Drosophila melanogaster: one gene and its partner. The protein of the gene in region 2 purifies or fractionates together with the protein of the main gene of each other region. This does not show direct contact. Each region holds a gene or a part of one and is shown on either strand. Other genes may lie near its edges.

The links.
Region 1: the proteins of Cyt-b5-r (region 2) and CG15522 purify together in Drosophila melanogaster (affinity purification with mass spectrometry, with the first as the bait; one large-scale study listed by BioGRID). This does not show direct contact.

The regions. Positions count from the first base shown.
Region 1 is NT_033777.3:29,914,419-29,929,338, reverse strand, and holds CG15522 (uncharacterized protein), read right to left. Parts: upstream 2,085-14,920; 5' UTR 1,822-2,084; exon of another isoform or gene 1,542-1,821; intron 1,470-1,541; 5' UTR 1,345-1,469; coding exon 1,218-1,344; intron 1,159-1,217; coding exon 764-1,158; 3' UTR 573-763; downstream 1-572. Other genes in the region: alpha-Man-Ic (alpha-Mannosidase class I c), read left to right, coding at 1-536; Jon99Ci (jonah 99Ci), read left to right, coding at 3,165-3,427, 3,485-4,040; Jon99Cii (jonah 99Cii), read left to right, coding at 4,752-5,549; Jon99Ciii (jonah 99Ciii), read right to left, coding at 6,300-7,097; trp (transient receptor potential), read left to right, coding at 9,276-9,424, 9,483-9,720, 9,782-9,924, 10,312-10,513, 10,608-10,784, 10,952-11,186, 11,242-11,540, 11,598-11,965 and 6 more.
Region 2 is NT_033779.5:16,783,900-16,800,611, forward strand, and holds Cyt-b5-r (cytochrome b5-related), read right to left. Parts: upstream 6,823-16,712; 5' UTR 6,734-6,822; coding exon 6,320-6,733; intron 6,001-6,319; coding exon 5,618-6,000; intron 5,546-5,617; coding exon 5,032-5,545; 3' UTR 4,875-5,031; downstream 1-4,874. Other genes in the region: Mhc (myosin heavy chain), read left to right, coding at 352-430, 767-1,942, 2,010-2,915, 4,122-4,205; CG17928 (uncharacterized protein), read left to right, coding at 7,873-7,970, 8,044-8,374, 8,471-8,853, 8,911-9,424; Ugt37C2 (UDP-glycosyltransferase family 37 member C2), read left to right, coding at 10,337-11,908; Ugt37E1 (UDP-glycosyltransferase family 37 member E1), read left to right, coding at 12,696-13,393, 13,453-14,374; Ugt37D1 (UDP-glycosyltransferase family 37 member D1), read left to right, coding at 15,909-16,621, 16,701-16,712. UniProt on the Drosophila melanogaster protein: May play a role in muscle cell metabolism.

The DNA of each region.
Region 1 (14,920 bases), on a different chromosome or scaffold from region 2:
TTGCCGGCGGGCTTTTTGTCCTGGGAGCAGCAGAAACCCAAATGAAGCACTGGGAAAAGTATGCCCATATTGGCATAGGCCTCACAGATACTTGTCACGACAGCTACTGGAGTTCTCCCACTCGGTTGGGTCCGGATACGTTTGCCTTCACGGAGGAAAGCCAGCAGGAAATAGAGCCGCTCCAGAGGAACTATTACAATTTACGGCCGGAAGTCGCGGAAACTTACTTGGTTCTGTGGCGCATAACCCATCATCCACAGTACCGCTTGTGGGGATTGGAGATGGTGCAGGCGATAGAGAAGTACTGCCGAATGCCCTACGGATATACTGGAGTGATGGACGTTAACAACGTTACTTCGGAACCGGATGACGTGCAGGGGTCCTTCTTCTTGGGCTCCACTCTGAAGTATTTGTATCTGCTCTTCTCCGACGACGACGTGGTTTCGCTGGAGCAGTGGGTCTTCAACAGTGCAGGCCATTTCCTGCCCATTAAGGGCGTGAACCCAATGTATCGTCAGCATAACTCATCGAACTAAACATTAGCCAATTACCAAAATAGTTAGCATCTATTTAAAGTTTAACTTTTAATGCAGACATGTATAAAAAACTTGTGTGATCTAATACTTTCACAATGAATTACAAAACCTAATTTCTAATTAGCTGGGAGCACACACATTGAGCACACCTAAAAGCACATACACACATAAATGTCAAATGTCGAACATTGGCCCGCTAAACCATCGCTGGCATCCGCCCTAGAGCTCTAGAGCTGGCTGTTGGCCAGGTGGTTGTCGATGACCCGCTGGATGATCATCAAGCAGTGGCGCTGCCTGGCCACCGTGTTGTCGATCAGCTGTTCCGTGAACTGACTGGCCGCAATGTTCGTGTTGGGCGGTATATCCTGCGTGCAGGATATGTACCTGTTGAAGATCTCCGTGTTCAGCGACGTGGCCAGATACCGCTCGCTCTCGTCCTGCTGCTGCAGCTTGTCCAGCTCCTGGGCGGCCAGCAACAGCTGATCCTTGGCCTTCTGATATGATTGCAGCTCCTGCAGGCTGGCATACTCGGCGCTGCTCAGTTTCACGGACCTGCCGCCGTCTTTCGTCATCTGGCGAATGTGGTACTTGCGCTCGGCCACAAAATTACCGAGCAAGTATCCTGCGAAACCACGACACACAAGAGTGACTCATTAGGCGCTGTCCTGTGAATGCACTCACCTGTTATCAGCATGAAGAAGCCAATCGTTAGCACCAGGGAGGCACAGGTGCGCTTGGAAACGTACTCGCGGAACTCCCGAGAGCTGTTGGCCCGCACCGCCGTCTCGTAGCTGAGTACCTGGTGCATCCTGATGACCTGGTCCCCTTGGGGATTATAATCTGTGGGGCCTGCTTGGCCTAGTCACGTCGAGACACTCGGATGTGTCCTTCAGAACTGGGTGGGAACATGGTGCTATCGGTGGTATCTAGTGCCTAAAGCATGGAATTTGTAATTAAACATTAGAAACTGTATCTGTGAGTTACAGCTGTAAGTTTCTTAATTACTTCGATATGTTCAAGGATTTAAGAGCGCGGAACTTGGAATGATATAACACCTCTTGGTATGTCATGTCAGGATTTAATGTTCTCCTTTCACATTTTTAGTTTGAGCACTAAAACCGCAGTGTCAATGCCCCGAGTTCCTGTTCTGGCGATGCCGCTGATACGGAGGAGCGTGACTTAATCGCCCCACCTTAAAAGGCAATCGCGAAGCCCGTTGTTATGGGCATCGCACACGGCAAACAGCGCGGTCCTTTAAACGCTTCGTCGAACACTTTTCACTCACTCGCTTTATAGGATATCGTCGGCTTGGCTCGACTCTTGTGCTGCCAGGATGGGGTACATATGCATTAAATTAATTAATGACTGCACTTTTGTGTTGCACTGCCCGAAGGAAGTGGGCTACAAGTGTGGGAATGTCCTTTGCGAAGGGAGCGCGCTCAACTTTTAATTGTATTATTTATGCTTTATTTACTCGTCGCGTTCGCTCGGATCCTTGCGCGTTATCCTTGCGAGCGGTCTGAATGCCCGGACGCCCAGTCGGGAACTGACTCACGCTTCGTTGGGGGTCGGCTTTAATAGCTCTCCGTTCTCCGTTTTCCGTTCCGTGTGGTGAGTTTCCTGCCCCGATATGTTGCACATTTCAGCGTGGCACTACGTCGGCGGAAGGACGGTCAAGGGGAAGCTCGGAGAATGCAAACAAAGGCATTCCCAGTAGCTTCCTAATGAGGAATGGGTCCGCCATTTCGCCCACTCCGCCCGAGGCGTTCCTCAGAAACTATATCGGATTTCAAGCCATCGCCTCACTTTGAGTGATACTGCTGCTCCGTAGTTCCGAAAGTGGACCTCCCTTTTGATTGCCATAATCGTATTTTCTTTTCTGCTTCACTATTCCCTGCAATACTTCAAGGATATCACATGACCCTCGATTGCCATTTCTGTTCCTTGGGGTTCTTTGAAGTCCCCCCCATGACACCTTGCTTGCACATTTTCACTTGTTGTGCTGTGACATATATTACTGGGAATTTATGCATAAACTCAACCATTGCATACAATTTGAATATATATTTTGAGGTACGATTATAAACTTTTGCTTTTCTGAACTTGAAGTACATAATCCCATAACGCACTCTATTACTAAGTTAATCCATTGGGTGGCATAAATTAAAATAATTTATTGCACGATAAGCTTGTACACTTCTATATGTGCATCGATAGTGACTTCATTGGTCTATATAAAAGTGTGAGACCAACAGGAGATTTTAGTATACAAAATGAAGGCTTGCGTACCCATATTGGCAGCCCTTTTTGGATCAGGGAGCAGACTGGCATTTACTATTAACCATGGTTAATAATTCTTTATGATTTAATAAAATTAAATGAATTAAATTGCTTGAACTTGTATCCACTCAGAATTGATTGAAGCACTCAAAACACTCTTATTCCCTTTGCTAACACTTCATTCATACTGCCAAACACTCGTCTTGAGTATCTGCTAGTATAAATCAAACTTTTTCGTTGATAAAAGTGCTGCGAGATAAGATTTCGCACTTTGAATTAGCATCGATAGTGATTATGGCTAAGCTATATAGTATTGGGACCACCATGGGAGCCTTTTAGTCTTTCAATATGAGGGGTCTTACACTCTTGTCGCTCGCCTTCCTTGGGGTCTGTAGTGCCCTAACTGTGCCCCATTCGCTGGTCCATCCACGCGATCTGGAGATTCGTCATGGAGGGATTGAGGGTCGTATTACCAACGGAAACCTGGCGTCCGAGGGTCAGGTTCCCTACATCGTGGGTGTGAGCTTGAACAGCAACGGAAACTGGTGGTGGTGCGGCGGATCCATAATCGGACACACTTGGGTGCTCACTGCTGCCCACTGTACCGCTGGGTGAGTTATTTGATTTCACAAATAATTAACGCTCTTTGATAAATCATCGTATTGCAGTGCTGATGAGGCTTCACTGTACTATGGTGCCGTCAACTACAACGAACCTGCCTTCCGCCACACAGTGAGCAGCGAGAACTTCATCAGATATCCCCACTACGTTGGACTCGATCATGATTTGGCCCTGATCAAGACTCCCCATGTGGACTTCTACAGCCTGGTCAACAAAATAGAGCTTCCCAGCCTGGATGACCGATACAACTCTTACGAAAACAATTGGGTTCAGGCCGCCGGATGGGGTGCCATTTACGATGGCAGCAATGTGGTGGAGGATCTGCGAGTGGTGGATCTGAAAGTGATCTCCGTGGCGGAGTGCCAGGCTTACTACGGAACTGATACCGCCTCCGAGAACACCATCTGTGTGGAAACTCCGGACGGAAAGGCCACCTGCCAGGGTGATTCTGGTGGTCCTCTGGTCACAAAGGAGGGTGATAAGCTTATCGGAATCACTTCCTTCGTCTCCGCTTACGGATGCCAGGTTGGAGGACCGGCTGGCTTCACTAGGGTCACCAAGTACCTGGAATGGATAAAGGAGGAGACTGGAATCTATTATTAAAAAAAAACTTTACTAATTTCAAAGCAAAAAGGTGCTTAAACAAGTTTTAAATAAATGAAGAACATATGCTGTTATATTTTGTGTATTATTAATTTCTTGGAAGATAGTGGCATATTCATGTTTAGAGATAAAATTACCAATAATACATAATCAATACATTACATATTACATAATACATACCATTTAATACATTACCTATGTAATATTAACCTATTAGTGTTTTATTTTTTGATAATCTAAAAATCAACTTGTTGAGAACAAAAACTGTACAATGTGCCGTATGAGTAATATTTTATCACACTTTTTTTTGAAATTGGTAGTAAATACTTTCAATAAACATTATTCAGAATTTAAATTTCTTAAAGATCATAAAATACTTTACTCCTCATTTGGGTAATCTGAGTATATAATATATTTTAGGTGAAGTGAATGTCCTTACATGATACTATCATACTGAAGAGTAAGTTGCAAATAAGGCACATGTCATTCCACTTCAAATTTAGGCCATAATTTACAAAAAAAAAAAATCACCTGTAGTGGACTTATCAGTCGACGATGGCTCGCGATGATAACTTGATTAAAATTTACTGCCCTCCCATTTTACATACGTGTGGAAGGAAGGGCTCTTGGTCGAGATAAGACTACGGACCACTTCTGTATATAAAGGCGCTTCGACATCGGAACACCATTGAGTTGCAAGACTTGACCAAGATGAAACTGTTCGTATTCCTGGCCTTGGCCGTGGCCGCAGCTACTGCTGTGCCCGCTCCCGCCCAGAAGCTGACCCCGACGCCCATCAAGGACATTCAGGGTCGCATCACCAACGGCTACCCAGCCTACGAGGGCAAGGTGCCCTACATCGTGGGTCTGCTCTTCAGCGGCAACGGAAACTGGTGGTGCGGTGGCTCGATCATCGGCAACACCTGGGTCCTGACCGCCGCCCACTGCACCAACGGAGCCAGTGGAGTGACCATCAACTACGGAGCCAGCATCCGCACCCAGCCCCAGTACACCCACTGGGTGGGCAGTGGCGACATCATCCAGCACCACCACTACAACAGCGGCAACCTGCACAACGACATCTCCCTGATCCGTACCCCGCACGTCGACTTCTGGAGCCTGGTCAACAAGGTTGAGCTGCCCAGCTACAACGACCGCTACCAGGACTACGCCGGATGGTGGGCCGTGGCCTCCGGATGGGGCGGCACCTACGATGGCAGCCCACTGCCCGACTGGCTCCAGTCCGTCGATGTCCAGATCATTTCCCAAAGTGATTGCAGCCGCACCTGGTCTCTCCACGACAACATGATCTGCATCAACACTGACGGAGGCAAGTCCACCTGCGGAGGCGACTCTGGTGGCCCCCTGGTTACACACGACGGCAACCGCCTGGTCGGAGTGACCTCCTTCGGATCCGCCGCTGGCTGCCAGTCTGGTGCTCCCGCCGTCTTCAGCCGCGTCACCGGATACCTGGACTGGATCCGCGACAACACCGGCATCTCCTACTAAGCAGTTGATGTTCAATAAACGATTATAGCAAAAATGAAAAATTCGACCAAACTATTTATTCAGTTGTAGATTGAGGGGCACATTATTGAGAGCTAAATATTTATATATTCTATTATGTACATTAAATGTACATATATTATAAAACTAAAAGTAATCTCATATTTTCCTTAAATGTTTTTAAAACGAGATTGTTTAACTTATTTTTATATCCTATTTTTATATTCTATCCATATGATAGCTGTTGAACGCTAGTAGCGACTATAGGGTATTCCTATATTTAAAACTGTTTAAGCTAGGAAAGTCCACTTGCAGCTATTTATAATAACATAAATTTATATTATGTTTATGCACTTTAATTATGTTGCAAATATAACAAGTCCAATATTCTACATACACCATTTTCAATCCAGTTTGCTTTTTATATACATAATATACATAATAATTATAAACAATACATAATAATAATACATAATAATAAGACGTATGATCCATATATATATATTTGCATATAGTCCGATGGTTCGTCATTATGTGTTCCTAAAGCTTGATTTTTTCCGATACATAAATCGGAAATCGGAATAAGTTTATTTCCGTTTGCAGTTTAATATATTTCCCTTCACTTGGAAATATTTTATTGATTTCATTACTTAAGCAAGAAGACATCTGAATCCCATCCCAAAAACAGAACTTGAGTTGCTTGCTATAATCGTTTATTGAAGAAACCCCTCAGAATTAAGGAACATCAACTGCTTAGTAGGAGATGCCGGTGTTGTCGCGGATCCAGTCCAGGTATCCGGTGACGCGGCTGAAGACGGCGGGAGCACCAGACTGGCAGCCAGCGGCGGATCCGAAGGAAGTCACTCCGACCAGGCGGTTGCCGTCGTGTGTAACCAGGGGGCCACCAGAGTCGCCTCCGCAGGTGGACTTGCCTCCGTCAGTGTTGATGCAGATCATGTTGTCGTGGAGAGACCAGGTGCGGCTGCAATCACTTTGGGAAATGATCTGGACATCGACGGACTGGAGCCAGTCGGGCAGTGGGCTGCCATCGTAGGTGCCGCCCCATCCGGAGGCCACGGCCCACCATCCGGCGTAGTCCTGGTAGCGGTCGTTGTAGCTGGGCAGCTCAACCTTGTTGACCAGGCTCCAGAAGTCGACGTGCGGGGTACGGATCAGGGAGATGTCGTTGTGCAGGTTGCCGCTGTTGTAGTGGTGGTGCTGGATGATGTCGCCACTGCCCACCCAGTGGGTGTACTGGGGCTGGGTGCGGATGCTGGCTCCGTAGTTGATGGTCACTCCACTGGCTCCGTTGGTGCAGTGAGCGGCGGTCAGGACCCAGGTGTTGCCGATGATCGAGCCACCGCACCACCAGTTTCCGTTGCCGCTGAAGAGCAGACCCACGATGTAAGGCACCTTGCCCTCGTAGGCTGGGTAGCCGTTGGTGATGCGACCCTGAATGTCCTTGATGGGCGTCGGGGTCAGCTTCTGGGCGGGAGCGGGCACAGCAGTAGCTGCGGCCACGGCCAAGGCCAGGAATACGAACAGTTTCATCTTGGTCAAGTCTTGCAACTCAATGGTGTTCCGATGTCGAAGCGCCTTTATATACAGAAGAAGTCCCTTGTCTTATCTTGACCAAGTGTCAAACTACCCATATGTTGAGCTGGAGGGCAGTAAATTAATGTCATCCAGATTACATAGGAGCAAAAAGACAAAAAATAAACAACGCAGAGGCTTGTACAGCAATATAAAAAACGTAAACTTATCAGTGTTCAATGATTTGCGAATCAGTTAAAAATACAATAAATTTAATGTTAAATACTACTCATCGGATGCAATTCATAAAATCATTTTCTACGTGGGTACATTCAATTTGTTTAAACACATAAGTATCTTATCGGTGCCATAAAGCAAATCAGCATTGATACTATAGATTTTTACGATCATGTTGAGGGCTTAGAGATATAATTTTAATACAGATGGCCATAAAATGAATTTTATCCCGCAATCTTGACGGTTTCCGGTGGGGAGACAGTGAAAGTGCAACCTGCTACGCAAACCCAGGGAAAATGAGCTCTTTCGCTTTTCTCGTGGAGAACTGAGCACATAACTCACAAGGGTCCTTAAAAGCTAAATAAGGCAGGAGTTTTGTTGGAGGCCAATGAATCATTGAGTGCAACCCAGTTGTACACTGCAGAAAATCATGTATAAACCCAACATAGCATTTAGTTAATGGGAACTTATAAGAAGAATGTGCATTTAGCCACATTTGTGTAATGAGGAGTACCTTTATATAATTACGAGAATGCCATCCAGGTATTTTCAGCTATGGCCTCTAATTAATTCGCACTTAATGAGTTCCCCTCGACAGCTGTGACTTTAATTTTGAAATTCCTTGGGCCACCATCACTTCCTTCCTCTTCTCTTGGAAGCCATGCGAGTGGAGTGTGGAGTGCATTGGCCCCGCTAAAAACCCCGTACGACTTGAACACGTACGATGCCATTCCGCCCGGAGCTCCATTGAACCCCACCTTTCGAACACACACATTCATCTCAAAGGGCTGCTCCGTGAAAGTGGGCTTGTTCCTTTTCCTTTTCTCCGCCTTTAGCCAGGAGCTGGCATTTAGTTCCAAGTGCATTGACACACAAAAGCCCTGCGAGCGCCCTGAAGTAAGCAACATTCAACATTCAAGGCTCAAGACGCTCGGCTGCCAAGGACGAGTTGGGTCTTAGATGTACACCACCCCACCTCCCCCTCCCACTTCCCATGCAGATTAATCAATATTCATCAATCACAAAGTCAGAATCACTGACCCAGTGCCCAAAAGGCATTCGAAATCATTTCAATTCGGTAGATACTCGACTGTAAACTGCAGGTGTGGTGTGTTTTCCGGCTCTGTTGGTTAGCCAAAAGCTTAAAAGCTTGCATTTTCTCCTATTTTTAAGGGCTTTTCTCGGTGAATAGTTCTAGGATATGAACCCAAGTCCATGAATCCCTATTTACTCGCAAATTAACACCCTCATGCTACTTTTTGAATATTAAGTAGCTTTGAATTTCGGCTTGAATAGGTGTCAAAAAGTATGCAAAGTGCGTATTTTTTTTTTGGGCATTGATCTATATTGCTGGGTACAAAATATTAGACACCTATTTAATTTCATATCTCAACTGTATGCATCATTTCATCGAAATATAAGCAGATAATATTGTTCCATTTAGCACGTTTTGTTTTTCACTTACATATAAACCCACTGGGCAGTATTGATTTGGATTTTCAGGCATAAAAGTGGTGCGATTCCGTTGCTGGGGCTTCGAAAATCGAAAGTCGCTCATCACGTGCAATGCAACCACAAATGGACGAAAGATTCCTGAACTGAAATCGCTAAAATCGGTTGCTGCCTCCAAATGCAGCCCCACAATTACCGAAGTGCGGTCAAATGGGCCCATTGACTCGGGGTTCGCCCACACATTGACCGAGTTTTAGCCACATTGGGCACTAATGTAATTAGTGGAATATAGCGACCCGTGGCTGCCACTTTTCAGCAGTGCAACGCGGCTAATTGGAGGCGGAACATCGCCACGATGGAACACTAAAGGATACAGTGCGCGAAAGGATTACGCCAAGGCTCCCCGAGGAGCAGGGATAAATGCCCATAGTGTTTGTGAGATGTGAAGTGACCGAGTGATCCGATCCTGATAATCGCGTTCGCATAGACCAGTAAATCAGTGCAGATATGGGCAGCAATACGGAATCCGATGCCGAGAAGGCGTTGGGGTCTCGCCTGGATTACGACCTGATGATGGCCGAGGAGTACATCCTCAGCGATGTGGAGAAGAATTTCATATTGTCCTGCGAGCGGGGTGACTTGCCAGGTGTCAAGAAGTGAGGCTTCCTCCCTATGGCTTCGAGTAACTCGGCTAATATGATTTCGTCCTTGAAGGATCCTCGAGGAGTACCAGGGCACGGACAAGTTCAACATTAACTGCACGGATCCCATGAACCGCTCCGCCCTCATTTCGGCCATCGAGAACGAGAACTTCGACCTGATGGTGATCCTGCTGGAGCATAACATCGAGGTGGGCGACGCCCTGTTGCACGCCATCTCGGAGGAGTATGTGGAGGCGGTGGAGGAGCTGCTGCAGTGGGAGGAGACCAACCACAAGGAGGGCCAGCCATACGTAGGTCACATCCTGCCGCAGAATATGCCACAACTCTTACTCTTTTCCCCTCCTTTGGCAGAGCTGGGAGGCGGTGGACCGCTCCAAGTCCACCTTCACCGTGGACATCACGCCCCTTATCCTGGCCGCCCACCGAAATAACTACGAGATACTCAAAATCCTCCTGGATCGCGGGGCCACGCTGCCCATGCCGCACGACGTCAAGTGAGTGGGGTGGTGTAGGGATGCAGTTGCTCGGTGATATGGCTATGTAGTGAGCTTCCTCGTCCTTCGAGCGGCACGTTCCATTGTTTGTCCAATTGGCAACACACTTATGTAGCACATCGCTGGGTGCCTCTAATTTTAGATAATTGCGGGCAAATTAGGGTGAAATATTAATACAGGGTGTAATGTTGTGTGTGGGAAGAGCAGGTCCTTGAATGTTCTTAAATTGGGTCAATGGACTCAAGCCTTTAACAGCGTCATAAATGTCCTTGCTAGGAGAGAAGGTCCTTTGTACTCCTTTCAGATTGATTTAAATGTATTTATTATTATAGAACTCTTGGGTTCCGTACACTTTGTATATCATCGCTTAATCTCAATTGTTTCTAGGTGCGGCTGCGATGAGTGTGTGACCTCCCAGATGACGGACTCCCTGCGCCACTCGCAGTCGAGGATCAACGCATACCGCGCCCTGTCCGCCAGCTCGCTGATAGCGCTCAGCTCCCGGGACCCTGTACTGACCGCCTTCCAATTGTCCTGGGAACTCAAGCGCCTGCAGGCGATGGAATCGGAGTTTCGTGCCGAATACACGGTACGGTAGTAGTGTGCAATGTAAGCGGTGGCCAGTGTGCCACTAGAGTCTATGCGAATGCGAATGCGAGCCTTTGTTTGTGTTTGCCCAACAGGAGATGCGTCAGATGGTGCAGGACTTCGGGACCTCGCTCCTGGATCACGCACGCACATCCATGGAACTCGAGGTGATGCTCAACTTCAACCACGAGCCGTCCCACGACATCTGGTGCCTTGGCCAGCGGCAAACCCTGGAACGACTGAAGCTGGCCATTCGCTATAAGCAAAAAACGGTGGGTTCGGACTAATCCGTGCACATTAAGGAACTGTGAAGGTTACAAGCTTGTGGCTAGATACCCATGCCTAATCCACCACAGACCAACTGGGATTTAATAGCTTTATATATAGAAACGGATCTTAGTACCCTGCTTGAATTTATAAACATTACTCCCCCTTCTAGTTTGTGGCACATCCAAATGTCCAACAATTGTTGGCCGCCATTTGGTACGACGGACTGCCGGGCTTCCGGCGCAAGCAGGCCTCCCAGCAGCTGATGGATGTCGTGAAGCTGGGATGCAGCTTCCCCATCTACAGCTTGAAGTACATCCTGGCCCCGGATTCCGAGGGTGCCAAGTTCATGCGCAAGCCCTTTGTCAAGTTCATCACGCACTCCTGCTCCTACATGTTCTTCCTGAGTGGGTAAAGTGGGTGCTTAACACTTCATCCATCTAAATATGCGCCCATTCACAGTGCTCCTGGGTGCTGCCTCCCTGAGGGTGGTGCAAATCACCTTTGAACTCCTCGCATTTCCCTGGATGCTGACCATGCTGGAGGATTGGCGCAAACACGAGAGAGGTTCACTACCGGGTCCCATTGAACTGGCAATCATTACCTACATAATGGCTCTAATATTTGAGGAACTGAAATCTTTATATTCGGACGGCTTGTTTGAGTACATCATGGATCTTTGGAACATAGTGGACTACATATCGAACATGTTCTATGTGACGTGGATTCTTTGTAGGGCCACCGCTTGGGTAATCGTCCATGTGAGTCCATATGAATCTAATGAATAAATTGGAGTTACTGAAACGAATTGATTTCAGCGTGATCTCTGGTTCCGGGGCATAGATCCTTACTTCCCAAGGGAACACTGGCATCCGTTTGATCCAATGCTTCTATCAGAGGGCGCCTTTGCTGCCGGAATGGTCTTCTCCTATCTAAAGCTCGTCCACATCTTCTCCATTAATCCCCACCTGGGACCCTTGCAAGTTTCACTGGGTCGCATGATAATCGACATCATCAAGTTCTTCTTCATCTACACACTGGTGTTGTTTGCCTTCGGATGTGGTCTCAACCAGTTGCTATGGTACTACGCTGAGCTGGAGAAGAACAAGTGCTATCACCTGCATCCCGATGTGGCTGACTTTGATGACCAGGAGAAGGCTTGTACCATCTGGCGAAGATTTTCCAAGTATATTACATTCATTTCTATGTACTTTATCATATTGGCATCCCATTTCAATTTACTTTAGCTTATTCGAAACATCACAATCGCTCTTTTGGGCCTCTTTTGGCCTGGTGGACCTGGTCTCCTTCGATCTGGCGGGAATCAAGAGCTTCACCCGCTTCTGGGCACTGCTAATGTTCGGCTCCTATTCGGTTATCAACATCATTGTGCTTCTCAACATGCTGATTGCCATGATGTCCAACTCCTACCAAATCATCTCGGAGCGAGCCGACACTGAGTGGAAGTTCGCCCGATCCCAGCTGTGGATGAGCTACTTCGAGGATGGCGGCACCATTCCACCGCCCTTCAACCTCTGTCCCAACATGAAGATGTTGAGGAAGACCCTGGGCCGAAAGCGACCGTCACGAACCAAGAGCTTCATGGTAAGTTACACTCAGAGAAATTCAATATTTCAGTTTAAGTATTATACAAATCCACACATATATATTAAATTCAGTGTACTCTACTTTTAAATGATATTTCTTATCATATTACTTTTAAATGTAAGTAACATTTCGAAAGTTCGATTTTTTCAAGTTGAATCACCTCACAGTGAGAGGCGGCTCACAATCAATACAAATCTTAAGCGAAATCATTTTCAATCAAGCCCATGCAGAGCTATCTGTGCGTCAAATTGACGTCTAATACATCCTTTCTGTGTCCTTCCACCCTCTAATGCTCCCTGTTCCAACTCCCAGCGAAAGTCCATGGAACGGGCACAGACGCTGCATGACAAAGTGATGAAGCTGCTGGTCAGGAGGTACATTACGGCGGAGCAGAGGCGGCGGGACGATTACGGCATTACCGAGGATGATATCATTGAGGTGCGCCAGGACATCAGCTCCTTGCGGTTCGAGTTGCTGGAGATTTTCACCAACAATAACTGGGATGTACCCGACATTGAGAAGAAGTCGCAGGGTAAGGGAAGCCTACCCACATCCAAATTGGCAACTTACACGTGTCTTAAGATAGAAGTAGCAGTATATATGAATAATTATTTACAATTAGCTTTTGAATACCTAATAAAGTTCACCCCATCTTGAATATTAATTTGAAATATGTTGTGCTAGAAGACTACAAAGCTAGAATGGATTTTAATGGATTTTATTCACTAAACTTACTTTTGAAGGAGTTGCTCGAACCACCAAGGGCAAGGTGATGGAACGTCGCATCCTTAAGGACTTCCAAATCGGCTTCGTCGAGAATCTGAAGCAGGAAATGAGCGAATCTGAGAGCGGACGAGATATATTCTCATCGCTGGCCAAGGTCATCGGCAGAAAGAAGACCCAGAAGGGGTAGGTCCACTTAAATCTGTAAGACGCTTTGAATAATGGTTATTATTCTCAACAGAGACAAGGATTGGAACGCCATTGCGAGGAAGAATACTTTCGCCTCCGATCCCATTGGCTCCAAGCGCTCCTCCATGCAACGTCATAGCCAGCGAAGCTTGAGGAGGAAGATCATCGAGCAGGCGAATGAGGGTCTTCAGATGAACCAGACCCAGTTGATTGGTAAATTAATAAAGATGTGCCCAATGTATGTATATTTCCATACCCTTGATCTCCTCCAGAATTCAATCCCAACTTGGGTGATGTGACGCGTGCCACAAGAGTGGCTTATGTCAAGTTCATGCGGAAGAAGATGGCTGCCGACGAGGTTTCCTTGGCCGATGACGAGGGTGCTCCAAATGGCGAAGGCGAAAAGAAGCCACTGGATGCCTCTGGGGTACGTTCCAATCAATATATGTATATGTATTCCCTGGCTAATATATAATCTCACTTGCAGTCTAAAAAGTCCATAACTAGTGGTGGAACTGGAGGAGGAGCTTCTATGTTGGCTGCAGCTGCTCTAAGAGCATCGGTTAAGAATGTGGATGAAAAATCCGGAGCCGATGGCAAGCCCGGCACGATGGGCAAGCCAACGGATGACAAGAAAGCAGGTGATGATAAGGATAAGCAGCAGCCTCCCAAGGACTCCAAGCCGTCAGCAGGTGGTCCCAAGCCCGGGGATCAGAAGCCAACTCCGGGTGCGGGAGCTCCAAAGCCCCAAGCAGCTGGCACTATCAGCAAGCCCGGTGAGTCACAAAAGAAGGACGCTCCGGCACCACCAACCAAACCTGGAGACACCAAGCCTGCTGCGCCGAAGCCTGGAGAATCCGCCAAGCCCGAGGCCGCTGCCAAAAAGGAGGAGTCTTCCAAGACCGAAGCTAGCAAGCCGGCAGCCACAAATGGAGCAGCCAAGAGCGCAGCTCCCTCCGCTCCTTCGGATGCCAAGCCGGATTCCAAACTGAAACCTGGAGCAGCTGGAGCACCAGAAGCAACTAAGGCAACCAATGGGGCCTCCAAGCCGGACGAAAAGAAGAGCGGTCCGGAGGAGCCAAAAAAGGCTGCAGGAGACTCCAAGCCAGGAGACGATGCCAAGGACAAGGATAAGAAACCCGGCGACGATAAGGACAAGAAACCTGGCGACGACAAAGACAAGAAACCTGCTGACAATAATGATAAGAAGCCAGCCGATGACAAGGACAAGAAGCCGGGAGACGATAAGGACAAGAAGCCGGGTGACGACAAGGACAAGAAGCCGAGCGATGATAAGGACAAGAAGCCTGCCGATGACAAGGACAAGAAGCCAGCAGCAGCTCCTCTGAAGCCGGCGATCAAGGTGGGTCAGAGCAGTGCCGCAGCTGGCGGAGAACGAGGCAAATCCACGGTCACAGGACGCATGATCTCCGGCTGGCTCTAAGCCGCGGAATCCACTTTCATAGCAATTAAATAGTTAAGTCCTTTGTTTGTGTGAATAATAAAAAAAAAGAATCTCAAGTACCACGTTTCTGCAACTTGTTGCTAAAGGCCACCTGTTGCCAGCAACATCTCATTTGCATCGCAGCAACATTCATCATCCGCCCCGTTGTTCCGATGG
Region 2 (16,712 bases):
GGTCGCGATAAGGTAATATGTCGTGATAACTGGCGCCCGAGCAGGGACGTCCAGCGATTCATACATATACAGATCCATACACTGAACACAGCATGTTCCAACCAACAAATAAAAAAAAAATGCTACCACACAACTACGTACAAACGAACTACGTCTGTGTGTCCCTCTATCTCTCTCTCTCTCTGTCTAATGAAATTGAAGGTTATTTGGAAAAAAGGTTCAACGCAAGGAAAGCAATTCTCTCGCTTCTCGCCTCTGTATTTGTCTCTGTCTCTGTCTTTATCCCCCACAAAACATGAACTAACCCGTGAAATACGAACCTCTGTGTCTCTATCTATCTGTCTAAACCAGGGCTGAGAAGGAGAAGAACGAGTACTACGGCCAGTTGAACGATCTGCGCGCCGGTGTCGACCACATTACCAACGAGAAGGTATTGAATTTGATCTCTACACATATTATTGCTCTCATCGCGATGCTGTAAATTTATATGCTGAAAGTTCTAGTTTAGCCACGTCTACTACATCTGTGTATAGTATCAACGTAGTTGCAACGCAACCACACCGAAACTCCAAAAGAAAATTTGATTATGTAAAAACTAAAACGACCCACCACCACTAAAGTAATATCCAAGCTTGATCTACTAAACCCCAAATGCCTTGTACAGCCACTTGACACGAAACCAAAATGCCACACTTACAATCAATTATGAATGTTCCCAATCCCCATCGTGAAACTAATGAACATCCATTGCTTAAATCACTAATAGGCTGCCCAGGAGAAGATCGCCAAGCAGCTGCAGCACACCCTCAACGAGGTGCAGTCGAAACTGGACGAGACCAACAGGACTCTGAACGACTTCGATGCCAGCAAGAAGAAGCTGTCCATTGAGAACTCCGATCTGCTCCGCCAGCTGGAGGAGGCCGAGTCCCAGGTGTCTCAGCTGTCCAAGATCAAGATCTCTCTGACCACCCAGTTGGAGGACACCAAGCGTCTGGCCGACGAGGAGTCGCGCGAGCGTGCCACCCTTTTGGGCAAGTTCCGCAACTTGGAGCACGACCTGGACAATCTGCGCGAGCAGGTTGAGGAGGAGGCTGAGGGCAAGGCCGATCTGCAGCGCCAGCTGAGCAAGGCCAACGCTGAGGCCCAGGTGTGGCGCAGCAAGTACGAGTCCGATGGCGTTGCCCGCTCTGAGGAGCTGGAGGAAGCCAAGAGGAAGCTGCAGGCCCGTTTGGCCGAGGCCGAGGAGACCATCGAGTCCCTCAACCAGAAGTGCATTGGCCTGGAGAAGACCAAGCAGCGTCTGTCCACCGAGGTGGAGGATCTGCAGCTGGAGGTCGACCGTGCCAACGCCATTGCCAACGCTGCCGAGAAGAAGCAGAAGGCCTTCGACAAGATCATCGGCGAGTGGAAGCTCAAGGTCGACGATCTGGCTGCTGAGCTGGATGCCTCCCAGAAGGAGTGCCGCAACTACTCCACCGAGCTGTTCCGTCTTAAGGGCGCCTACGAGGAGGGCCAGGAGCAGTTGGAGGCTGTGCGTCGTGAGAACAAGAACCTGGCCGATGAGGTCAAGGATCTGCTCGACCAGATCGGTGAGGGTGGCCGCAACATCCATGAGATCGAGAAGGCCCGCAAGCGCCTGGAAGCCGAGAAGGACGAGCTCCAGGCTGCCCTCGAGGAGGCTGAGGCCGCTCTTGAGCAGGAGGAGAACAAGGTGCTCCGCGCTCAGCTTGAGCTGTCCCAGGTGCGCCAGGAGATCGACCGCCGCATCCAGGAGAAGGAGGAGGAGTTCGAGAACACCCGCAAGAACCACCAGCGTGCCCTCGACTCCATGCAGGCTTCCCTCGAAGCCGAGGCCAAGGGCAAGGCTGAGGCCCTGCGCATGAAGAAGAAGCTGGAGGCTGACATCAACGAGCTTGAGATTGCTCTGGATCACGCCAACAAGGTAGGTTCAACCACTGATGCCTAGGCACACCGAAACGACTAACCCTAATTCTTATCCTTTCCTTTAGGCTAACGCCGAGGCCCAGAAGAACATCAAGCGTTACCAGCAGCAGCTGAAGGACATCCAGACTGCCCTCGAGGAGGAGCAGCGCGCCCGCGACGATGCCCGCGAACAGCTGGGTATCTCCGAGCGTCGTGCAAACGCCCTCCAGAACGAACTGGAGGAGTCTCGCACTCTGCTGGAACAGGCCGACCGTGGCCGTCGCCAGGCCGAACAGGAGCTGGCCGATGCCCACGAGCAGCTGAACGAAGTGTCCGCCCAGAACGCCTCCATCTCCGCTGCCAAGAGGAAGCTGGAGTCCGAGCTGCAGACCCTGCACTCCGACCTGGACGAACTCCTGAACGAAGCCAAGAACTCCGAGGAGAAGGCCAAGAAGGCTATGGTCGATGCCGCCCGCCTGGCCGATGAGCTCCGCGCTGAGCAGGATCATGCCCAGACCCAGGAGAAATTGAGGAAGGCCCTCGAGCAGCAGATCAAGGAGCTGCAGGTCCGTCTGGACGAGGCTGAGGCCAACGCCCTCAAGGGAGGCAAGAAGGCCATTCAGAAGCTTGAGCAGCGCGTCCGCGAGCTCGAGAACGAGCTGGATGGTGAGCAGAGGAGGCACGCCGATGCCCAGAAGAACCTGCGCAAGTCCGAGCGTCGCGTCAAGGAGCTGAGCTTCCAGTCCGAGGAGGACCGCAAGAACCACGAGCGCATGCAGGATCTGGTCGACAAGCTGCAACAGAAGATCAAGACATACAAGAGGCAGATCGAGGAGGCTGAGGAAATCGCCGCCCTCAACTTGGCCAAATTCCGCAAGGCTCAGCAGGAGCTTGAGGAGGCCGAGGAGCGCGCCGATCTGGCCGAGCAGGCCATCAGCAAATTCCGCGCCAAGGGACGTGCCGGTTCTGTCGGTCGTGGTGCCAGCCCAGCGGTAAGTTATTGAACAATGGCATCAAATGCCTTCATCATCACTACCCTTTAGCCCTTAAGACCCCACAATGACCTTACCCACTCAGAGAAAAAAGTAAATATGAAAGCCCATTTGAACTTCTCTCAATCGAACACTTCTGAGCCTTCATTTTGCTGCATCAGCGCCATCTCCATTCACGTTATTTCTGGATCAGTTATTGAATAATGTGTATATTCTTCCCTTTCATATTGCTCGCGTATGCTCTGCTTCCACTTACGAAAACAGATCTAAGCCTGAGGCATCACCATCGAATAAAAAATCTATATAGCGATCCAATTATGGTTCATTTACGATAATGAGAGAACAAAAACCATGCAAAGAGAATTATAGCTTATAAGAATTATTATAAAATAAATACTAATAACAATAATATAGATGCATCACATGACATTCGCTAGCAGACAAAAATGTATAAATTAGAGGCCACCCCAATCAAAAATCAATGGATCAATTCATCGAATACCAACCAAGAATGCGTTCATTTTGACAGAAAACCAGACAAAAAGCCAAAAAAATATTGCAAATAAAAAAGCAAGCAACCAACGCAGCACCAGGCTAAATCAATCGAAATGCTTTCTTTACCACTATTTACAAAAAAGAGAAAAAACAATACTATTCTTCCACTATATTATTATAAACTGTATTTGTACATGTGTACTGCAGCCGACAGCGTCAAAGGGCCGCAAGAGCGCGCTGCTGGAGCAGTAGAAACTTTCTTGAAACATTTGTAAGTGGACGTGTTCGTGCACGTCTTGACCCGTTCTTGTTGTGTCGGAACTCATCCCTCCCACTCCCGCACACGCACACCAGTCAGTCAATCAACCGCAGCTCATCTAGTTGTCTCGCTCACTCGTTCGTTGTCGTTGCTCATAGTATCCGTATCGTCTCGCTGTCGTACTCGTCAAGCGTTCTCGCTCCACTCTCATTCGACACAAGCAAGACACTCTATCTCTCGCTCGAAGAGCATTTACGTACCTCAGTTACCGTTCTTTCACCGCGCCACTCGCTGGCACTACAAAACGTGTTCAGGGAGTGCTAGTCGTACTCGTTATCGTTCTATCCCGTGCAGTCGATCCAACATGGCGACTTGTCCCATCCCCGGCATGTTTAAATATACTAATTATTCTTGAACTAATTTTAATCAACCGATTTATCTCTCTTCCGCAGCCCCGTGCGACGTCCGTTAGGCCACAATTCGACGGATTGGCCTTCCCACCAAGATTCGACCTTGCTCCTGAAAACGAATTCTAAATGCCATTTCATTTTTTAATTTATTTTAAATGATATTTCATAATGATTATGTTTATGATTTTAATTTAATTTCTTAATTTAAAAACAAAATAATAAAACTATAACAAAATAAATATCGAAAACGACGGGAGGCAAACCACCAACAACGCCAGATGCACTTAGGCAAAAAAATAAAATCATATAACAACAATCGATCACCATCGATTAGCATACATAATACATAAGTGATCAGTAACAGGCTATTGTGTAAGCGCGACATTTGCCATGGGGACACTGCTCGCTGGACCTGTATTTGTATTTGTATTTATATATTTTTATACAACTTTCGAAATGCATTCAACCAACTAACTATGAAAGAACCATCGACTCTCAACCGAACAACATGAGAATAATCGCGAAACGTGAGCCCCGTCAAAATGAAGGCCCCGCGGAGGTGTCCGCCGGTAAATGTCGCCCGCAGTTCGAATATTTTGCTCTATATGTACTCCCAATATTGTTTGTCATGCAGACCAGACAAGACTTACGGACGACACGAGCTACACACTGCGCTTATGTTTATGTTTAACTCTGACTCTATCTAACAATGATAGGGAGATAAGATCATCACTTGACACTAAATGAAAAGTATACAAAAAAGGAACAAAATAAATGTAAATCAATTTAACAAATGTGTATTATTTTCCGTGATCAAATCATTCGACTGGGACATATTCATTCATATTTACTGGCCATACGTGTTAAGAAATTGTCACAGGTCTTTTGTAAACTAATAAGATGTTGTGGATATATTTATTTACTTTTACTTAAGCCCCATACAAATTAAGTCCTACTTTCCCGCCCCAGGAGCCCTGGGATTGGGCTCGATGCGCAATAGTTGCTTGTGCTGGCCAATCATGTGCTCGATGTGGTTGCACTCGCGGAGATGACCCTTGAACTCATCGAGAGTCTGGTAAAGCACCGGATAGAGGGCGGGCAGGAGGCCATGATCCAGGGTCGGGAAGAGATGGTGGAGCACATGGTCACCAAAGTGGGTGAGCACCAGGAACTGCGACCACTTGAGATCACCGCGGTCGATAATCGTGTCCACCTGGAAGAGACCCCAGTCACGATCCTCACGATTGGCATCACCCTCGTGATAGATTTCCGGATCGTGATGCGCCGCATTCAGACCAATCAAGCAGAAGCTAAAGCTGGCTATCGACGTCATCGCGAGCCACTGGCGCACGCAGATCCAAATGCCTAAAGATCCCCCGGTTCCCAGGTATATGGCAATGGGTATAGTCAGTGGCAGTAGGTCGTGCCAGTAGAGGATGTTGGTGTGGCGCAGCGAATAGAAAATACTGCAATATCAATCAATCAAAAGATCACTGATTAGACTTTGTTTACGATCACCGCCTCGATCACACACTCACCGAGTGCCCATTTGTATGAAGAAGGCGAGGGCATAGGCCACCGGCTCCGTGACCCAGGACACATAACGCATCAACTTGCTCTTGATGTGCGGATTGGGCACCCAGCACAGCAAGGGTTCGAACATCGAGAGTTCCAGATCGAAATACGAATTCGGATAGATGTGGTGGGACAGAGCATGGGACACACGCCAGGCGGCAAAGTTCATCATGCCCAGATTAAAGGCGTACATCTGCCAGTTGTCCCGACGATGAAAGTAGTTGTGGGACACGATCACCGTCCAGCAGAGGGCCACACTCGCCAAGACCAAAGCCAAAAGGCTGTTGTATTTGGCACTGGCAATGCCCAACAGGTAGAGCGACACAACGAGACCCAGGTGAATGAGCTAAAAGAAATGTATATTAATATATTATAAATATAATGATAAATTTTAAAGTTATCATATTAATTAGGGTTTCAGCGTGCAAATAATTAAATAATATAATCACACAGGCCGCCGAATACAAGTGGGGGCATAATATTAGGGCTGCGACACGTGAAATGTAAGATTAGATGTTTTTAGTTAGTAATAAATTTATTTATGAGCCGGCAGGTTCAACTTCCTATCAATAAGTAACTGATAAGAATTACTTAACTGATATGAAATGAAATCTAAGGCACGCCCATTTTCAATAAGGTATTTTTTTTTGCAGATTAACACTCACATCACTCTTCTTTTTCGGCCGCTTGTCTATGGTCTTTAGTTGCTCGCGGACTCGCTCCTTTAGCGTCTTGTAGAATCCGCCCTCCTCCAAGGTCAGTGTGTAGATTCTGGGTTCAGCCGCATCCCTCACCTTGTATTTGGCGATCATCTTTTCGGGAGCCGTGGTCAGATGATGTGCCTCAAAGGCTTCGGTGATGTCGGTGCCCTTGGTCTCACGAATCCAGAAGGGACCGCCAGGATGCTTGTCAATGAACGAGGTGAAGTCATAGATGCCATCGTTGATGCGCCACAGTCCTTCGGCTCCATCGTCCTGCCGTTTACCCTTTTGCCAGCTGTGTGTGGTGATTAGGGCCGAATTTCGGTATGTTGGAAACTTGGTGGCAATGCCACTCTTTTTCCACTCCTCGATTACCATATTGCCGAGTCCTTTTGATCCTTGACGTCTGTGGCACAAACTTTACCGATCCGAGCACCTTTCCGCTGGGATTCCAACGACTAACTGAAAGGCACCGGCAGTGGTCCGTTTATTTTATGTGTAGCGCAAATCTCTTTTGATTATATAAACCGAAAATCGAGATTTCCAAACAAAACGTTTCCATTTTGATAAGGCGCCGGTGTTATCAGGAGAGCAGCGCAGCTGCCGCCTTTTAACTATTACGTCTATTTAATTCTCACATATTTTTAGCAGTATGTTCTAATCGCTAATTCATTTGGTGAAATCTCAAGCAGTGGGCATGTCTAAGCACCACATGGGCGGTTCGAGCAGACTTCGGCGACAATAGGTCAGTGCGGTGGCCATAACAATGTTATGGTATCGCGGCAGTTTGAGGCTTCGCTTGGCTGGCGTGGGTCTAGCCGAAAGCAATCAGCTTTTGAGATTGTTGGGGGTAGTCTTATCTCTAAGAGCTCCAATAAAATAAAATAATTTGATAGGAATAAATTCAGCGATTTACTAGGGTTTATTAGCATGGCTACACGTTGAGTTCACTTTTCTTTTGCTTGGTAAGCATAGGTAATCCTTGTACAACTTACTTAATATGAAGCTAAGGATATAAGTATAAGTATAAGTAAGTAATATAAGTGTAAGTATTTATACTTATACTTTTCTTTTAAACAAAGTTCTGACTTATGGGAAAATAATGCAATGCACACACTACTCTAGATCGCAATGCTGGCGCCCTTCAATGTAAGTATGCTTTGAATCTCATTTACATACTGTTACTTTTTCCTGATAAGAAGTGAGAGCCACTGAGAGGAAAGCTTTCAATCGGCGATACTCTCAGAGCTTTACTAATTGATCGAGCGAGTGCGATACGAAAACAAAAGCCGAGCGCCGCTCCAATAAAAGTTCAGTTGGCGCTACGTAAACAAACTTTGCGGTTAGTCTGCATCTGGGGTGTCCAGAACGACCGGTTCTTTCGTTAGGCACTAAGATGAACTTGGGAATCAAACGGCTAGTTATCAGCAACGATTAAGCACTAGCGTTCAAGGTACTTCTGGGGTTAAAATAAACTCCATTTATCAGTGTACATCGATTAACAAACAGTGCACAAAATGACGCCCAATGTTAAGGACGATGGTGACTGGAGAGTATCCGGAATATCCAGAAATTACCCGAGCTATCGCCAGCATCGACCGATTACCAGTGAAAGGTTTGCATCGAATATACCCATAAATTTCAAATTAATTAAATAAAACTACATATTTACATTTTCTCTTGCTCAGCTGGCTGGAGGGGAAAAATGTAGATGACGAGGCCGAAGGTCTTTGGCGAATTAACGATACGCTCTACGACTTAAGCGACTTTGCCGCTCGCCATCCGGGTGGTTCATCTTGGATTGAGTGCACCAGGGGAACGGATATCACCGAGCCCTTCGAGTCACATCATATCGAGGAGCGAGCTCGAGGAATGCTAAGCAAATTCGAGGTGCGAAAGGCTGCAAGGCCAAGGAACTACAAGTTCACTCTTGAAGAGAATGGTTTCTATATGACACTGAAGCGGAGAGTGCGTGAAAAGCTGAGAAAGATCGATTACTCTCCCACTAAGAAAACCGAGGTATTGTTGCGATCTTGACAAGTTACTAAAGTTCCGTCGAACGTAATATGCTTGTTCCCTATGATATACTTATTGTTCTACAATATAATCTTGCAGTTTCTCCATCTTGGCATCTTGGTGTCCGTCTTCCTCTTCAGTTGGGCAGGCACCGTTCTGGACTCATTGATCTTCAAGGGTCTAGCTGGATTGGCACTTTGCTGGGTGGCAACCTCAACCCACAATTATTTTCATCAACGGGACAGTTGGCGGATGTACACTTTCAATCTGACCATGATGAACTTCCGAAACTGGCGAATTTCTCACGCCCTATCACACCATGTTTATGCTAATTCTCTGCACGACCTGGAGATGTCCATGTTTGAGCCGTTCCTATGCTGGATTCCGGATAGTCATTATGCCAGTAAACCTCAACGATTGATCTCAGTGGTTATCAGCCCCGTGGTATATGTGGTCTTGTTCCAAGGGCAGTTTCTCATACGGTGAGTGGCCAAAATAGTTTTCTCTGTATTGTACTAATAGGTTGCATTATATTTTAGCCTGGTCCTTTCCCTGACCAAAAGAAACGTTCTGTGCTGGGATGATCTCATTGGCTTCAGTCTGCCCATTTTTATATATTTATCCACTGGTGTTAGCCTGTTGAGTGCACTTTTAAGCTGGGAAATAATTATATCGGTTGGGAGCTTTATCTTCGGACTTGTTGGTCTCACTGCTGCCCACCATGATCCACGTATTCTACACGATGGAGATGCCCAGCGACAGGACTTCGATTGGGGTCTTTACCAGGTGGACACGATTATAGATCGCGGAGACATCAAGTGGTCGGATCTTCTGGTGCTCACACACTTTGGTGAGCATGCTTTGCATCACCTATTTCCCACACTGGATCATGGAGTGCTAAAGCATCTGTATCCTGAGTTAAGGAAAACCATGAAAGAGTTCGACGTGGAACTGCGGGAGATCAATCACTGGAGTCACATAAAGGGACAGAATCAGCAATTGCTAAGAACAGAGAAGAATCCAATTCCGCCGGGTAGTAAAAAGTTGATGTAGGTGGGTTTTGGAATTGTAGTGATAATTGGGGAGGGTAATGGTTATTCTGGAAAAAGGTTATAATAAAGAATAATATTGGGTAAATTATGCAAAAATGTATATATTAAATACAATGTGACTTAACAGACATTGGTTTTCTTTTATAAAGCATTTTGTTTACCTGTCTAAACAAAACGTGCTCTTAACAAAAGAGCTTTCTTCGATTCTCTTTTTGTTTGCAAAGGTTTGTTAAGAGCACTATAATCATTGTCGCTTTTTTAAGTCGTTTGTTACGCATAATTACAATTATATTTTATAGTTCGGCTTATGAGGTGCTTAAGCAGATCACTTAAAACTACATTAATATTTTAAGAGGTGAGAGTTTGGTGGGTGTTACGAAAATTGGTGAACTACACGAAATATATTTTGATAGTGGGTTTTTGCTGACTCATCTTGACAAAGCAATTGAAAAACGAAAATAGATTTTATAATTAAATTAATTATAAAACTGCTGCCACGGAGTAATCAGGATATGGATTGACCTTTAAAGAAAACTGTTTTAAAAGGAATACAATAAAGTTGCGTTTATGTAAATTAAATAAATTTTTTTATTACTTTCATTTTATTTTTTAATAACCTTTATATATTTCTCTGATAAAATTTATTTAATTTTTATTTTGAACGTTTGAAACGCGTTAGAAAAAAAGTTAGAAAAGAGCGGAGTTGTATATCAAAGAGCAGGTAAATAAGAGTATCAAGAGAATGAAATGTTACCGTCTCTCATCAAGGTATTTTTCGGAATCGAGGGGAGTTGATAAGCAAATCCAATGACTGGCACCAGTTTTTTCACCCATAAATAGGTTTCCGCTTGCCCATTTCTCTTTAGTTTCTATTTCGACAGTGGCCGGACAGGTCATACCAAAAACTAATCAAATGATCGGAGTTCACTTCGTGTTTTTGTTGCTTCTCGGCGTGGTTGCCTCCACCCAGGGAGCTAACATTTTGGGGCTCTTCAGCAGTCACAGTCCGTCGCATCTGATAATCCACATGTCGGTGGCCAAGGCACTGGTCAAAGCTGGACACAATGTGACCGTGGTGTCCATGCTGAAGCCCAAGGTGACGCACAAGGACATCCACCTGATTGTGGTGCCTATGAAGGAGGAGCAAGAACGCATCATGGAAGACCAAATGACCGAAATGGCCGGGCAAAAGAACTCACTGGTCAGCACTATGTATCGCCTTCTAACCAGCATGGATGTTATGATCAATGCCCAGGCGGAACTCCTATCCGACCCTCGGTTTCAGCGCATTTACGAGACCAAATTTGATTTGATGATTTTGGGTTACTTCATCAACGACTTTCAACTGGGTGTCGCCCATAAGCTAAAGGTGCCGGTAATTATTAATTGGATGTCGGCACCTGTTCCGGCAATCGATAAGTATACGGGTAATCCCTCGGAGTTATCCTATGTGCCCCTCATGGGAACTGTGGCCACGCAACCAATGGGCTTCCTCAAACGAACTGAAAACGCTCTCAAATCCCTGCTCTTCGAATTCATTTTTGTTGTGTTTGATTACAAATTGACACGCATTTATAATGACGTCTTTCCGGAACAAGATATGCCCACACTGAAGGAGTTGAGGAAGAATATCTCCATGGCCTTTGTCGGCTCCCACTTAATCAGTGAAGGACCTATTCGACCCCTGGTGCCAGCGCTAATCGAAATCGGAGGAATACAAGTAAAGGATAAGCCGGATCCTCTGCCCAAGGATATCGATCAGTTCATAAGCAATGCCAAGCAAGGTGCTGTCTTCCTGTCACTCGGCTCCAATGTCAAGAGTTCCACTGTAAGGCCAGAAATCGTACAGATCATCTTTAAGGTCCTGTCCGAACTGAAGGAGAACGTAATCTGGAAATGGGAGGATTTGGAGAACACACCCGGTAACTCCTCCAATATTCTTTATAAGAACTGGCTGCCCCAAGACGATATACTGGCCCATCCGAATACCAAACTCTTTATCACACACGCTGGAAAGGGCGGCATTACGGAGGCACAATACCACGGAGTGCCAATGGTGGCACTGCCGATATTCGGAGATCAGCCCGGAAACGCGGCACTGATGGAGAAATCTGGATATGGCCTGGCTCTGGATTTGCTGTCCATAACGGAGGACAGTCTAAGGGATGCCCTGAAAGAGGTTCTGGAAAATCAAAAGTACAAACAAGCTATTGGCCAATTCTCTACCCTGTACAGAGATCGACCCATGACCGCCAAGCAGTCGGTGGTTTTCTGGACTGAATACATCCTGAGACATCAAGGAGCACCCAACTTACAGAGTCCGTCGGTGCACATGAATTTCATTCAGCTTAACAATCTTGATATTTACGCATTAATTGTGACGATTCTGGTCTTATTTGTGCTCCTTACCCGACTGGTTGCGAAAATCGTATGGAACAAATTTGGGGGAAAGGCGAAGATTTCTCAGACCAAAAAGAAACAATAAATTAAGTTAAATTAAGAAATAAATATTACCAAATTGTATTTCATAACTCGCATTCCTGATTACGAAATTTCTCATGCTACTGTATGACGCATGCATTGAGTTATCGATAGCGCCAAAAGATTACTTATTGGCCTAGTTACTTGTTGTTTGGGACAACTTTGAAAAGCCATTAATAGTTTAGCTCATATATTTAAGAAATCAGAAAAAAACTGAAATATTAAAATATTTATATGAACAATTAAAAATGAAATATGTTTTGTTTTTGATTTATTTATAACGTTAATCGACGAGTCGGAGGGCGGATGAGAAATTTGAAAATTAATTTAAAAATTGGCAAAAAGTGGGTGCGTGATTGCTTTAAGATTGAAGGCTCAGCAGGAGCTCAAGATAAGGTTCAGTAGTCCAAAAATATTAAAAAATCAAATGTCATTAAACTATGCAAAACTATTACATAAAGTCTTCATATTCATAATGTATTTAGCAATTTTGTTTACTGATTAGACAATAAATTTATGCTTAATTCTTTTTACCATTTAATCGTGACTCCGGGCTGCAGATACGCTGTTTGACAAAAAAAACCTTTGCGATAGCGATAATCTTATAGCAATTGACCAGTGTGTTTGAACAAACTCTAGGCAGACTTCCCCTATATGCCAAGTCACTACCGCACAGCGAAAGGTATTTTAATATGTTCCCTATTGATATTGCGTTTGCTATATAAGCTAGAACGCTAGAAATATATTATCTTAGTCGTTTACACTCAGTTCAATTGAAAGGTTAATTCAAAATGATTGAATATACTAAAATCGGATTTTTGATTGCATTCCTTCTGAGCACGATGACCCAAAGCAGTGGTGGAGCCAATATATTGGGAGTTTTCGGAACACACAGTCCTTCGCACGTGATCGTGCATATGGCTGTGATGAAAGCCCTTGCTGATCGAGGTCACAACATTACAGTGGTGACCCAGATGAAACCGAAATTGGCGACACATGAAAATATTACCGTGATCATTGCACCGCCGACGGAGGAGAGACAGAGATATATCAAAGAATATATGGCTGAGGTATCTAATGAGAAACCTTCGTTCTGGGAGACCATGGTCAAGGCGATCGTCCAATCTTCCAATCAACTGGAAGGACAATATGAGTTTATGACGCATCCCAATGTCAAAGAGATCTACGAGAATCCAAAGATCAAATTCGATTTGGTGTTTTTGGGATTGATGGCCAACACCTATCAGTTGGGCATTGCTGCCAAGTTGAAATGTCCGGTCATTATATCGTGGGTGGGCATTCCGCTGCCCTTCATGGACACCATTGTGGGTAATGTCAACGATCCATCGTATGTCCCGACCGTAAATGTAGCCCTTAATGCGGGTCAAAAGACCATGGACTTTGGCCTAAGATTTGTGAACTTTTTTAAATATGCCATCATGTGCGTTTTTGAGACAGTATTGGACTATAAGATGAACCAGTTTTACGAGTAAGTATACAACAAAAAACAGAGCTAGAAACAGCAATTGATTTATGAATTCTTTACAGGCGAGCTTTTGCTAATGAATTGGAGTTTCCAAACTATCATGAGATGAAGCGACGAGTTTCCTTGTTGTTCTATAATTACCATTCCGCCAGCGAAGGACCCATCAGACCGACAGTACCTCAATCGATTGAAATTGGCGGAATACAAGTAAAGGAGCAGGCCGATCCTCTGCCCAAGGAGTTGGCCAAGTTTCTTGATAAGGCTGATGAGGGCGCGATATTTTTCAGTCTAGGAACTAATGTGAATACGAATACCTTTCGACCCGATACCGTTGATATCCTGTACAAAGTGCTATCCAAGTTGCCACAGAGAGTTATTTGGAAGTGGGAGGACCTGAAAAACAAGCCAGGAAATGCCTCCAACATATTCTTCGGCAATTGGCTGCCCCAGGACGATATCTTGGCCCATCCGAATACGAAACTATTCATAACCCATGCGGGCAAGGGCGGTGTGGCAGAGGCTCAATATCATGGAGTTCCCATGGTCGCGCTACCGATCTTTGGCGATCAACAGGGAAATGCTGAAATCATGACAAAATCTGGCTTTGGCCGATGGTTGGATATTCTCACAATGACGGAGCATGAACTGGAGCAGACTATCCGTGAGGTCCTTGGGAATCCCGCGTATCGTGAGACGATTGGAAAGTTCTCCACCCTTTACAGGGATCGTCCGTTAACAGCCCGTCAATCGGTCATCTACTGGACCGAGTACGTATTGCGTCATCAAGGAGCCCTTCACCTGCAGAGTCCCCTCATTCACACAAAATTTGTGGCTCGAAACAATCTCGATGTCTATGGAGTAGTTCTCCTGGTCAGTCTTCTACTCATAGTCACTATTAAGTTTCTATTTCGCAAGATTTTAAATGTTGCGATTGGTTACGGTAGTCAGCGGAAAGCGGTGGCAAACAAGCTTAAAAATAATTAATTGGGATCTACAATACCATTAATGGATATGCGAAATTTCAGTTGATATGATGAAACACAAACGTTGTTGTTAAGAATCTTAAAAAAAAATATATAAAAAAAATTAAAGAAAAAGTAACTTATTCACTCTTTTCGTATTTCTTTTTTGCATCTCTTTCTTAAAAAACACTGATTATGGCGAAGACTACTATACAGATAAAAACATTTGCCGGAAAGCATGAGTTTGCACAAAACATCCATTACATATTGTTTATAGGCATGTACTTGAGACTTGTATTTGTGGGTAGATAAGGGGCGATTGCAAAATTGTTCCCTCGCAATCTTAAATCATTGTTAACCAAGTCAGAAACACTTTAAGAAGATGCCCCATACAAAAACCTAATACAAAATTCTGCACCTTAAGCAGAAAAGAAACCATTTATTATTTATACACTTGAACCTAACCTTTAGATACGAATTAGATGCCTTAACTAGGGTAATTAACTGTCGCCAGCCTTTGAAGTGCATGCATTTGTATATATATTATTTTTTTTTTCTTTAAGCTGATGTCATGCACCTTACACAACGTGACAGTTAATGAAATAGCAACAATGATTCCCAGACCTAGAACAACACTCGCTCAACAGGTTGCTTGAGCATTTCCATGTTCTCCCACAGCGAATAATTTTATTTTTAGAGGCCTCCCGCTCGGTTTTTTCTCTTCTCTCGAGAACTATCTCATCGGGTTAAATTCAAATCGGATCGAATTCAATTCTCAGTGATTCGAACGGCGTCGAGGCAGCGCGTGCCGAACGCGTATTGTTTTCCAAATTATTTCTTTATTATTCGAATGGCTCCTATGGGTGTCTCTATATAGACGAGGTATTTAAATATCTATCATAGTTGTTGTGTTAAAAGTCATCAAGAGAGAGCGAAAATTGATGAAATAATAGTTAACCTACAAGTTGACATTGACAATGCGACAAGGTTGCACTTTAACCTAAGTAATTGCAGCCGAAACATTTTAAAAATAGGCACAAGTTTTCTTTTAAAAAACCGCATTTTTCCGGGTTTCAGGAATTCATATATTACGAATAAAATTATTTGTATGTTTAATTTTATGCGTAATATATATAAACCAATGAACATCAATTATATTATATTATAATTATTTAATAATGACCAAATAATTGTACATATACAAATAATTAGTCTTGGAAATATACAAATTACAAGAGAATGTGTCGATTTTCGTCATAATTTAGATTATAAAAGTTTTTAGATTATAAAATATTTTGTTAAATCATATCGATTTGAAAGAAAGAACTTTAATCGCAGATAGAAGACAACGTGTTCCCCTCGTAGTAAATGATTACGAAATTTTTAATAAAATGTATGCTACTAAATAGCAATACACATGCATTTGCAGATTAAACGATCGAAGATATCTTATCAGTCCGCCGTTATCGCCCGAAACCCATTGTGTATAAGATAGTCGCCGGCTGCTTGGAACCATATCAGTTTCCATTCGTACTTGGACTTGAACGGAGCGAGTCATGACACAAAACCGGAGCACATGGATTGGATGCAGCTTGGGCGGCCTGTTGGTCGCTCTATTGGCCCTGCAAACGATGCCACAGGGCACTGAAGGAGCCAACATCCTGGGCGTCTTCACCAGCCACAGTCCGTCGCATTTCATTGTGCACATGTCCATCATGAAGACGCTGGCGGAGAAGGGTCACAATGTGACCGTCGTCTCCTCCGTTCCACCTAAAGTCACCCACAAGAGCATTAACCACATTGTGGTGCCAATGAGTGCCGAAGATGAGAAAGTGCTCAACGATGGTATGGCTGGAATGGTGAAGGAGAAGCCTTCGATTTGGAATACGATGAAATCGATCTTCAGCTCGTTAGCCCTGCTCATTGATAAGCAGGTGGACGTTTTGGAGGATCCGCGCTTCCAGGAACTCTATCTGAACAAGGGCAACAAATTCGACGTGGTCTTCGTGGGATTCTTCTTCAACACGTACCAGGTGGCGTTGGGTGCCCGGTTTAATTGCCCCGTTATAATATCCTGGTCGGGCCCACCCATGATGATGGTCAACGAGGTGCTGGGTAATCCCGAGCTATCCAGTGTTCCCCAAATGCACATTTCCGCGCCTCCCGGTCAGCCTATGAATTTCCAGCAGCGAATGCAGAACTTTGCCAGCACTTTGGGATTCAATGCTCTCAACATCTTCCTGAATCACAAATACAACAAGTTCTATGAGTGAGTACTTATCAATTGACTGACTGAACAAGATGTTTAAAAATATAATTAAATCTAATTCCAATATTTTGTTTTTCAGCCGTCTTTGGAG